3 linked regions of the Cricetulus griseus genome follow. The protein of the gene in region 1 purifies or fractionates together with the protein of each later gene. This does not show direct contact. Links are inferred from orthologs where the notes say so. Each region holds a gene or a part of one and is shown on either strand. Other genes may lie near its edges. The genes, in order: Utp4, Wdr43 and Wdr75.

The links.
Region 2: the proteins of Utp4 (region 1) and Wdr43 purify together in Homo sapiens (co-immunoprecipitation; 5 studies listed by BioGRID and IntAct, counting the BioPlex papers as one, with this or other methods). This does not show direct contact. The link is inferred for Cricetulus griseus from reciprocal best matches to the Homo sapiens genes UTP4 and WDR43.
Region 3: the proteins of Utp4 (region 1) and Wdr75 purify together in Homo sapiens (co-immunoprecipitation; 3 studies listed by BioGRID and IntAct, counting the BioPlex papers as one, with this or other methods). This does not show direct contact. The link is inferred for Cricetulus griseus from reciprocal best matches to the Homo sapiens genes UTP4 and WDR75.

The regions. Positions count from the first base shown.
Region 1 is NC_048596.1:183,222,351-183,225,999, reverse strand, and holds part of Utp4 (U3 small nucleolar RNA-associated protein 4 homolog), read right to left. Parts: intron 1,035-3,649; coding exon 863-1,034; intron 768-862; coding exon 676-767; intron 1-675. UniProt on the Homo sapiens protein: Ribosome biogenesis factor. Involved in nucleolar processing of pre-18S ribosomal RNA. Part of the small subunit (SSU) processome, first precursor of the small eukaryotic ribosomal subunit.
Region 2 is NC_048600.1:11,921,589-11,925,237, forward strand, and holds part of Wdr43 (WD repeat-containing protein 43), read right to left. Parts: intron 716-3,649; coding exon 578-715; intron 1-577. UniProt on the Homo sapiens protein: Ribosome biogenesis factor that coordinates hyperactive transcription and ribogenesis. Part of the small subunit (SSU) processome, first precursor of the small eukaryotic ribosomal subunit.
Region 3 is NC_048595.1:402,297,407-402,301,638, reverse strand, and holds the start of Wdr75 (WD repeat-containing protein 75), read right to left. Parts: upstream 2,883-4,232; 5' UTR 2,534-2,882; coding exon 2,451-2,533; intron 30-2,450; coding exon 1-29. UniProt on the Homo sapiens protein: Ribosome biogenesis factor. Part of the small subunit (SSU) processome, first precursor of the small eukaryotic ribosomal subunit.

The sequences.
Region 1 (3,649 bases):
GCACATGCTTTTAATCACAGCACTTGGGAGGCAAAGGCAAGCAAATCTCTCGAGTCCTGGGCCAGCCTGGTCTACACAATGAGTTTCAGGATAGCCAGAGCTATACACAGAAATCCTGTCTCAGAAACAAACAAAAAAAAGGAAACCACTAAAAAAAGTCATTGAAAAGGAATTTATGGGAAAAGACACTGATCCAAAGTAGGATAGTGGCAGCACAGAAATGACTCAATTCAAAAGATAATGAGGCTCCTGATGGCTGGTGAGTTCAAGACTAGTCTGGTCTACACAAGGTGTTCAAAGCCAGCCAGTGCTACAAAGTGAGATCTTGTTTTTAAAGTTGAGAGAGGTGGGGCTGGAGATGGCTCCCCTTAACGACTGTACTTAATAGGAGTTTTGTTCGCTTGTTTTTCAGGGTGGGCTCTATTATTCAGGTGGAGAAGTTAGGTTTGTAGTGTCCTTTCAAGGTAAATGGTACCATTCCCGATAAGTTGAGAGACCTCCCCAACACCTAAGCTGGCTCTACCTCATTATCACAATATGCATATATGCAGAGCACATGTACTCGAGGGAGCTTGACTCAGAAAAGAATGGAGAGAGCTTTAGATAGCATGAGCTGTGTTCAGGCTGACTGGATAGACGGATGGGGAGATGCTGAGGGCAAGAGGGGATACTCACATGGGGAAAAGTGATTTTTCGGAGGGCAGCATCATAATTCTTCACCTCTACTTTCTCCATGAGAGGACGAATAACAAGGTGAGTGTCAGTGCCTGAAACAAAGGCAATCAATGAGAAAAATCCTTCATGAAAAGAAAACAGCCAGAGCTGGGCAGAGTAAAGAGCAGCTGGCTGGGGGAGGACCTACCTCCTGATATCAGAGCTGTTGGGCTGTGGGCCACAGTGCGTACATCGTGAGTGTGATGCTGGAATGGTTTGGTCCGTACCCACTGCTTCTCACTGCTGTTGGAAGTCACGGAGACCAGCTGAAAATGGAATACTGTGCCTTCGGCTGTACCCACCACAAAACTGTCTTCTTGCTGAGAAATTAAATGAGGGGGTAGATGTCAACATAACAGGGTTCAGATGGAAAAATATTCCTTCAGGATTTCTATCTGGGCAGCTCAGGGGAGACAAACTCATGTCCTGAATTAGAAAGGAGGTTCCTGCCTGGCAAGGTGTTGCACGCCTTTAATCCCAGCACCCAGGTGGATCTCTGAGAGTTCAAGACCATCCCAGTCTACAAATCAAGTTCTAGGGTAGCCAAGGCTACACAGAGAAACCTTGTGGTGGGTGGGGGTACCCAAGGTAAGGCAGTTCCATCAGAGGAGAAAGCTCACACAAAGGCAGTAATCGCCCCCTGCGGACAAAGTTAACAATTAGCATTCAATTAGCTACACATTCAATGACAAACCAAATATACGGACCATGAAAAGTCTAATGAACCAAAAGTTCCTATTATCTAGTAATACCATAGCTGTCAAAATGTAGCACAAAACATTACTAACAATTTACAGTGATGCTGGTATAAAACACACCTTTAAATTGTACTCTGTGGTAAACTTCTATTCTGCTGTAAGATTTTAAGAATCACAGGGTTTGGCAGGGTGGTGGTGTCACACACCTTTAATCCCAGCACTCAAAAGGCAGAGAAGGCAGATCTCTGTGAGTTTGAGGCTAGCCTGGCCTACAAAGTGAGTTCCAGGACAGGCTCCAAAGCTACAGAGAAACCCTGTCTGGAAAAACAAACAAACAAACAAACAAAATCCCCAATCTAAAAACAACAACAAAAAATAACAGGGCTGGAAAGATGGTTCAGCAGTTAGGGGCACTATTGCTTTCATCAGTTCCCAGCACACATGTAATATAATACAGCTTACAACCTCCTATAACTCCTGCTCCAAAGGGATCTGAAGCTTCTGACCTCTACACTCCAGTGCACATACCTATACCTGCACACAATCAAAAAAACAAAAACAGGATTGGAGAGATGAATCAGCAGTTAAGAGCACTAGCTGTTCTTCCAGAGGACCCAGGTTTAATTACCAGCACTCACATGGCAGCTAACAGGGATCCAACAGACACATGCAGGCACATTAAAGAGTTGGGCAGCGGTGGCTCATGCCTTTACTCCCAGCACTTGGGAGGCAGAGGCAAATCTCTGAGTTTGAAGCCAGTCTGGTCTATAAAGTGAGTTCCAGGACAGTCAGGACTACACAAAGAAACTCTATCTTGAAAAATAAAACAAAAAAGCCCAACAAAAACAACATACATATAATCTAATAGTTTATTAGATTTTGTAATCAAACCCACGTAGATAAGACCTTACATATTTAATACAGTGCGTTACCCCCTGTACAAAAGGAAAAAAATTAAGTTCAACATTTCTAGAACAATATGGCTGTTAATTTCTGTACAATGCCAACTCAACACGGTAAACTGGGATACTTTTTTCCAAAGTTGACAGCACAGCTAAAGTTTCCAAAAATTCAAATTATATATGTATATGTATGTATGTATATATATTTAAAAAAGACCAATAATAGCAGTATGTTATGAATCAATAGCGCAGCAACAGCTTTTCCAGGTTCTGCAGCCATTTGAAAAAAATTGTAGAGACATCCAGCACACTCCATTAAAAAACCACAACAACAAAAAAGTAAAAAACAAAATCCCAGGGGTTTCTTTTTTTTTTTTTTTTTTTTTTTTGGTTTTTCCAGACAGGGTTTCTCTGTGTAGCTTTGGAGCCTATCCTGGCACTCGCTCTGGAGACCAGGCTGGCCTCGAACTCACAGAGATCCACCTGCCTCTGCCTCCCGAATGCTGGGATTAAAGGCGTGTGCCACCAACACCAGGCTATGCATCAGGATTTCTTTGCCTGGCTATAACTTTTAAAATACAAACAAAAACAAAAATGTCTTACAGTTTGACATAAGACACTTGGTATTTTTATTATATAAAACATAAATTTCCTTAGTATTATTCTTATTTTTTTCTTTTTGGTTTTTGGAAACAGGGTTGCTTTGTGTAGCCCTGGCTGTTCTGGAACCAGCTCTATAGACCAGGAACTCATAGAGATCCACCTGTCTCTGCCTCCCATGTACTGGGATTAAAGGCGCGCAACACTATTATCTGGCATATCATCTTTAAAAAACAAATTTATTTATTTGTTTTGTATGTGTATACAGACACACATGTGTTTGTGTGGAGGTCAGATGACAACTTTTCGGGGCTGGTTCTCTCCTTGGTGGCAAATGCCACCAAGAAAGCCGCCTTTCTAGCCTAGCAACAACATCTTTATGAAGTTAGACATTTCTATTAAAGAATGAGGTAGGTGCTAGATCAGTGCTTACATAGTTTAGAAGGAGTTAAATTTATCTGCTGCCAGTTGTGTAAAAGAAAAGCACATACAATTGGCACATTAGGTATGCAATGTTGTAGCTTTCCCTACTACCTGTTTACATAAGAATACTCTATGAAGTTCATACAATGTTGAATTCACCTACTGATGGACTTCTCAGAATGTGTTCCTGCCATTAGGTGACTATATACAAACTATGTTCAGGACAAGAAATGAAATACCCAAAATAGATTTAAATAAGAAACATGTTAGCTGTGAGAAAACTCTTCTAAAGCACATTAGCAGTATAGGGGA
Region 2 (3,649 bases), on another chromosome or scaffold:
GCCTTGCCAGCTGGATTCACTACCAATGTGTTTTGTGAGGAGACATGGCTGGAGGGAAAAACTATTCCTCCTGTCCTTCTTTGCATCACCCCAACAGTTGGCTTCTTCACCCTTGATGGTGTAAACTGAAGGCAACAGGCAGTCTGAAGGAACCAGCATCACCCTTCCCTTCAGAGACATCAAGAAGCAGAAGCAGGAGCAGGAGCACCAGCCTCTGAAATATGCACCCCAAGCCCACAGTAGTGCTGGCAAAGTCAACTCCTAAGGTCTCAGCTTCAGCAGCAATTCCAAGTGCCTCCTTTGTTCCCTCAAAGGGTGAAAGCATCTTCCTTAAGCTATCACCTATACTAACTTGAAAGTCCCTCTGATCCCTTCTGACTTTACCTTTAGTCAACAGTTCTCCATACTCTTAACTCATACAGGTGAGCATTATCTACTACAGCTCTTAACAAATATTCTGTAATTGTAATGCAATTGAGATGGGAAACTGCTTCTACACAGAAAAGGCTCATCAATATCTTGAAGTATTTCTAATAATCTGTCACATCTTTTATATAAAATATGTAAATATACTTACTATTAATTTACTGTGTAATTCTCCTTTTACTGTGCTATACAATAAAATGCTACCAACTGCTGTGCCAAGAGCCAACAAATCAACCTGGTCACTCGTTCCTATAACTTCTGATTTCCTTTTTTTCCTTTGATGACTTTCCTGGAAAACAAAAAATAAAAATAACATTTTAACTACTTAGTATTTCAAATACACACATACACACCAAAACATCATTAATATATAAACACCAGTGCCCATTAGCCCTCAAAGACACTTACCCCTTTAGAAAGAGGTCAGACTGCAAACTACCACTTCCTATGTGTCAACACTCTTTCTACTTCTCAAACACTATCAAGTCTTCCTAGCAGGTCCCAGGAAAGCCTCCCCTCCCCAAGCAGAGATCCACAAGGGTTTATGAATCCGTAAGTCCAGGCCCAAATTCTTCCATTGGAACAGTCAACTCTTCCATTTTTCTCCCAAAGCTTGTTCCTCAAGCTTGTTTCATTTTCAAGAAGAAATAAACATTTTTATATCAATATACATTAACTTGGATCTAAGTTAACAAACAGCTTTGACTAGCAGTGGGATCCAGTGGCTGACTTGAGGGTTGATGTGGTGCTTTCATGCTTCTTCACTGCTTCTGCATACTTTGAAGACACAGGCATCCAACTAGTGGGGGGAAAGGCACTAAACGACCATTTCAGTAGGAATGCTCAAACAGAAAAGGGAAAGCAAATATTCAAAAACCCCAAACTTCTCAGGTCTGCAACACCCTACAAACTCTACAGCCTTAGCAGTCTCTCCTCTGTGTGGGCACACCTCTAGTCTCCATTATGTAAGAGCTTGAACCCAGCCTGGACTATCCGAAAGCAGCTGGGCAGGCAGTGGTGGCACACACCTTGAATCCTACCACTAGGGAGGCAGAGGTAAGTAGATCTCTCTGAGTTGAAGGCCAGAAAAAAAAAATAAAACATTACCAAACTCCTATTTGTCCCATCTTCTGAATCTATTTCTGGTGGACAGAAAGGCTGGTGGAAGAAATCACTTGGAGGATTTTTTTTTTCTTTTTTCTTTATTTTGGTTTTTCGAGACAGGGTTTCTCTGTAGCTTTGGAGGCTGTCCTGGAACTAGCTCTTGTAGACCAGGCTGGTCTCGAACTCACAGAGATCTGCCTGCCTCTGCCTCCCGAGTGCTGGGATTAAAGGCGTGCACCACCACCGCCTGGCACTTTGAAGGATTTTTGTACAACATCAAGGACATTAGTCTAAAGCTAAGCAATACTCTACTCAACAAAATATAATGGCTTAAAAATATTAGTGTGTGTACATATGTATATAAATGCCCAGAGGCAGGGGTATTAGATCCCTTGGAGCTCTAGTTATAGGCATCTGTAAGCCACCCAATGTGGCGCTAAGACTCAAACTCAGGCCCTCTGACTGGGACATAAGTGTTTATTCACCACCCCCAAAATCTAGTGTTGTAAATACAATTCCACACAAAACAGTCCTCAATCTAAGAGGTCAGTGCTATTGATTCTAGCTCCAACTTACACCATATTCTCTAAACTTTACACACACACTTTTCCTCCAAAAACCTCTTGCTTCTCTTAAGAACTCATACTGTGTCATAGACCAGTAAATTCTGATCTGTCCATTTCTGTTAGTCATAGCTGTTTCCTCTAAAGAGGTAAGCATCACATGAATACAGACTACACATAAAGCTTAAGGAGTGAGAAAGGTTGGCTGAAAACTGATTCAAGTACTTGTAACTGGAAAATCTGCATGGAACCACTAGAAGTGAAAACTAACAAAAAGAATGTGATTTCCTGAGTAAAGAGATTTTGAACCTGAGCTAAGTGATAACACCAGAAGCCTTTCTGATGGACGCTTATAATGCATCTGATCAAGGGCATCAAGGCTGGGGTTGTCACACGTGTGACTTCTAAAAGCAGCAAGTTATAGACAGGTGAAGACAAGGGTTTACAAAGCATGACCAAACTGCCAGAGCTCTGACTGATTCTAGTCAGCAATTAAGCAATGGCTTTTCAAACTGAGACTACAGAATCAGAGTTTGGGTACATACACAGAGACTTAGTCTTACCATTTCCTTACCTGTCCATTCTATCCACTAATGGATCAAACTCAGTCTTAAAAAATGACCTCTAGACACTGAAAATTTATGTTCAGTTTTTAGTAAGTAGCTTAAATCCATTTCTTGGCCTGTTTTAATGACACTAACTCTGACATGTATTTCATAGATAAGAATTTTAAAAAGCATATACATAGTCACAAATACATCAAAACAATGTTCTTCTGTTTCTGCGACTAGGATCTACTCTGCAACCTTTACCTTCTTTTGACACTTAAATACTTGAGGCCTCTTGACAGGAACACAGCAGAATTGTGCTAAATCACCAGTGTCTCAGTTCCATTCCCACCTAGTGCCTGCAGTGCCATGTCCTTCAGTCATGTTTACACCAAGCAGAATTTACCGTAGTAGCCAACATGAGAATGGCATGCCTGACTGCCAGGGTTCCACAACCAGAGGAAGAAGAAAGACATGTCTTGGAAAGGGGTGGGGAAGCAATAAAGATCAATTCCTAGGTGGCTTGATTGTGTGGCTCCTAGCATGACAGCTTCTGATCACAAATCTAAACCAGAGAAATGCTAAAACTGTCATGCCATAAACTTAAAGTCCTTATGATCATTCTGGAAACAGGGTAAAGTAATCTAGCTTCTTCAAACATTTATGAACCATTACTATAACCCACTACCCAAGAAACAAATGAAGCATGAATTTATCGTTCTCTGCTTATAGGAGTATCACCATACATTGTCCTTGTGGCAAACTGCTGACTACTAAACCAAGTGCAGGAAACTCTTATGAACTTATTTACATTGGAGGATACAGCACTGTGTGAGTTCAGACAGAACATTTACTGATTCATATAATGAGTACTGTCTATGGACCAGGTCTTACAACAATCATATACGTGGCCTCATTTAATGCTAAGGGCTCTGGAAGTATGGTGGTATTATCTCTACTTCCACATTGGAGAGTAAGTTCCATGCTAGACCTTTACCAAAATGCTGG
Region 3 (4,232 bases), on another chromosome or scaffold:
CAAAGTCACCTGAGACACAGAAGATATACCTGGAAGAGAGAAAAATCTAAGTCTCATATATTACAAAGGCAACATAATCCTTTTGTGGCCTATTACAAAGACAACGACATGCAAATACCTTTCCAAATAGTTTAAGAACAGTACATTCAAATGCATGTGTTGTTAAACCTATGAGGATATCAAAGATGGATTCACCTGTTAACACGTAAAGGACTATGAGGTAATACAGAACCATAGCACAAACAATGGGACTAATGGTGCAGACACTGATATCCAGCTACTCTTCAGTGGTTCACTGGAGCTCCACAGCTGATTGGAGACATCAACTCACAAATGCTGAGTGAACGGTGCTCTCAATGGTTCTATCAGCTTCTTTTCCAACTGCTGAAATGCTGATTTTGTTTATACCTCTTTGGAGTTGTGGCTTCCTCCCATAAAGCAGATGCTCCTTCATAACCCAAGGTGGTTACATTCATAATAGAACTTTTCATAAGGAAAGTTCAGAAAAGATACTTGCTCGGTGCCAATTGTATCTCACACTTCCCACACATGGTGGAAGGCTCAAACCAGTGAGGACCAGTCAGGCTATTCTCTGTGTTCCCAAAGTGCCTGTGCATGAACATCCTAAGAGGAGATGTGACTGAGAGGTTGCTGAGATATAGCCTGCTTTAGCAAAACGATGACACTGAGTTGCTTACCTGTTTGCATCTTTAAAGATAGAATGTGGCTCACAATTGATGGTATGTCTATAAACTACTGGCCAACAGGTAGCTGTGTGTGTGTGTGTGTGTGTGTGTGTGTGTCTCCTCAGAGGTAGAGCTCAGTGATGGTGCTTGCCTAGTATATGCAAGGTCCTAGTGCCAATCTGCACAAACAAAGCAAAACAACCCACTATCTTTTTGGATCCTGCCAAAAGGGAGGCCTTTCATTGATATCCTCAATAAACCAGCCTAGCCTAGTGTGGTGGTTTCACTGAGAATGGAATGGCTCCCATAGATTCAGATGTTTGAATAGTTGGTTCCCAGTTGGAAAAATTATTCCTGAAGGATTACAAGGCATGACCTTGTTGGAGGAGGTGTGTCACTGGGGGCAGGCTTGAAGATTTCAAAAGCCCAAGCCATTCTCAGTTAGTTCTCTCTGAATGGAGATGCCTCAGGTACTGCTCCAGAGCCAAGATCATATCAACCATGATATGATCACAGATTCTAACCCTCTGCAACTGTGAGCTTCAAATTAAACATTTCGTTTTCTAAATTGCTTTGGTCATGGTGTTTTGTGTGTTTTGTTTTTTGAAGACAGGGTTTCTCTGTATTGCTTTGGAGGCTGTCCTGGAAAGTTCAGCTCTGTAGACCAGGCTGGCCTTGAATTCTGCCTGCCTCTGCCTCCCTAGTGCTGGGATTAAAGGCATGAGCCACCAACGCCATAAAACAATTGACAAATACAAAACAAACAAACAAAACCATCTAACTATCAGACTTGGTAAATGAAATGGACCACATACCTCATTCTAATAGCTAAGCCGAGGTGCAGTTCAATGAAGGGTGAAACTGGATATAAGGATGAGTCTGAAGGATCAGAACTGTGACAACTCTAAGCCCGTCCGTGTCCCCTCCTCCCCGCCCCCCCGTATTTCATAAAACAATGCCAACAAAACTACCTTTACTTGTAAGGACTATCTTGTAAAAACCCTTGACTTGAATGTGTGAAAGTTACTTTCATCACTCATCCATTCAACAAACCAGCTCCATACCATCATACATCCATGGGCATGGTACTCAGGGAGAGTCACCCTCCATAAATACAATCTTCAATCTTTACCCTTCTAATAAAGTTTTTTTTTTACTAAGTATCTCTATTCAGAGTACTTTGAATAAATAAATAAACAAATAAATAATTACTAAGTAATTTAAAAATACTGAGTAAATACTTAGTAGTTACTAGCGGGCGTCTCTTCTAACATGATACTATGTAGCAGCAAGGATGCCCAGCTGACTCGCAGCGTGCCATTGAGGCCAGGCGCTGTTGTAAAAGTTGTGTACACCTAGACATTTCATTCTTCCCAAACTCTGTAGACTGATTATCTCTTACAGATCTAACATCGGTTTTTACTATGTGACGTTCCAGGAAAGTAAAAAGCCTAAGTAACAATGGCGATCCAAAACGTTCCGTACGAAGAGAACGAACACTCGTCTGGGCGGAACAGCACACAGCCTGGAGCATTTTCCAGCCGCGCAGACCTGGCCTCGTTTGGCCACGCGACCTGTCCCCGCACCCGCGACCTCCCGCACGGGGGTGGAGTCCGGGAGCCCAGGCTCACCCACGCCGCAACAAGGCCAGGGTGCCCCGGGAGCTCCGGGTCTGGGCACGCGGAGTCCGGACTCGCTCTCTGCCGCGCCTGACAGTCCCCTCCCCGGCCCGAGGAGCCCGGCGCCCCGTCAGCCCCGACATACTTGGAATCCGCAGAGAACAGGGCTCTCCTGAAGTTGAGCCGGCTGCCGCCGCAGCGAACCACGCGCACGCTTTCCTCAACCATGTTCGCGCAGACGCAGGAACCGGCGAGCGCCCGCCGCACCACTAACTTCCCTCAAAGGCCGGCTAGACTGGCGCGTTTCTCCGCCGCGCTCCGCCCGGGTTTCTCTAGCTCCGACACTCTATGGTCAGGTCCGCGCCTGCGCAGCCATCTTTAGTTTGGGCGCTGTCAAATTAAGAGTGAAGCCAGACAGCCATGCACAAAATTAAACCATGCCCAATACCGCCACAACTATTTAATGCAAACAGCTTTCTCTTCGGCCTCTTCAGTCCGACTCTTATAGCCGCCGCAGAGGCAGAAGTGAGCGCCACTCCTCCCACCGAAGGTCTCGCCCTTTCTGTCCCAGGAATAGAGCGACGGCGAAATGACGCAATCACGTCGCGCCAGTTTTACCCCGGTTGCCCAATTAAGGCTTTTTTTTTTTTTTTTTTTTTTTTTTTAAGCTTGGAGCACACCTTTAATCCCAGCACTAGGGAGACAGAGGCAGGCGGATCTCTGTGAGTTCAAGAGCAGCCTGGTCTACAGAGCGAGTTCCAGGACGAGTTCCAGGACAGGGCTACACAGAGAAAACCAGTCTTCAAAACCAAGAATAAAACAAAAACAAAAGCTGCAATGGCTGTTGGGATTGCTAAGGTTGTTCAGTTCCTTTGGCTTTAGTCCTGAATTCCGAGGATGTTGATTCCTCTCTAACACTTTATATATGCATTATGTTCGTGGTTCCTGCATATTAGGGCATGTTTGTCTATATTGAGCTCTTAATGTGTCAATAATAGATCCCATTTGTGCTGAGAACCCCTAAGGAAGAGCTACTGATAGCTTAATCCTATCGGGAGCAGAGGCTTGGTACATTTGCAACTCACCACACATTTATGCTTATTCATAGCGGAAAATATATTCTCAAAGGTCAAAACAGCTTTAGACATCACAATCTCAAGATATATCTTTCATTGCTCTCTCCATCCTTCCCCCCAACTCAACCATCCGGATCCCTCCTGTTCTTATCCCCTCCCCTTTACCCTCCCACTCATCATTCCCTCTCCCATCCCTGCATCCAGTTTACCAAGGAGATCTCATCTAATTTCCCTTCCTAGGGAGATCCCTGTGTCCCTCTTAGGGTCTTCCTTGTTACCTAGTTTCTCTGGGGCTGTGGATTGTAGCCTGACTATCCTTTGCTTTACATCTAATATCCACTTATGGGTGAGTACCCCAAGGATTCTAGACTGACAGCTAGGGAGCCTGCATGGGACCAACCTAGACTCTCTGCATGTGTGTGACAGTTGTGTAGCTTGGTCTGTTTGTGGGGCCCCTAACAGTGGGACCAGGACCTGTCCTTGGCACATGAGCTGGCTTTTTAGAATCTTCCCTATGGTGGATGCCTTGCTCAGCCTTGATGCAGCAGGAAGGAGCTTGGTCCTGCCTCAACTTAAATATGCCATACTTTGTTGACTCCCATGCTTTACCCTTTCTGAGGAGTGAATGGGGGATATAAAAAGGAGGTGGGGGAGAGAATGGGAGAAGAGGGAAGAGAAACTGTGGTTGGTGTGTAAAATAAATTGAAATTTTTAATTTTACAAAGATGAAAAAATGACCCCGAAAAAGAAAATAAACAGACATCTAAAAAAAGATAATAAAAATTTAAACAAAATAGGACAAAGCAAACAGAAAAGAGTCAAAGAAAAGCACAACAAACATACAGAGCACA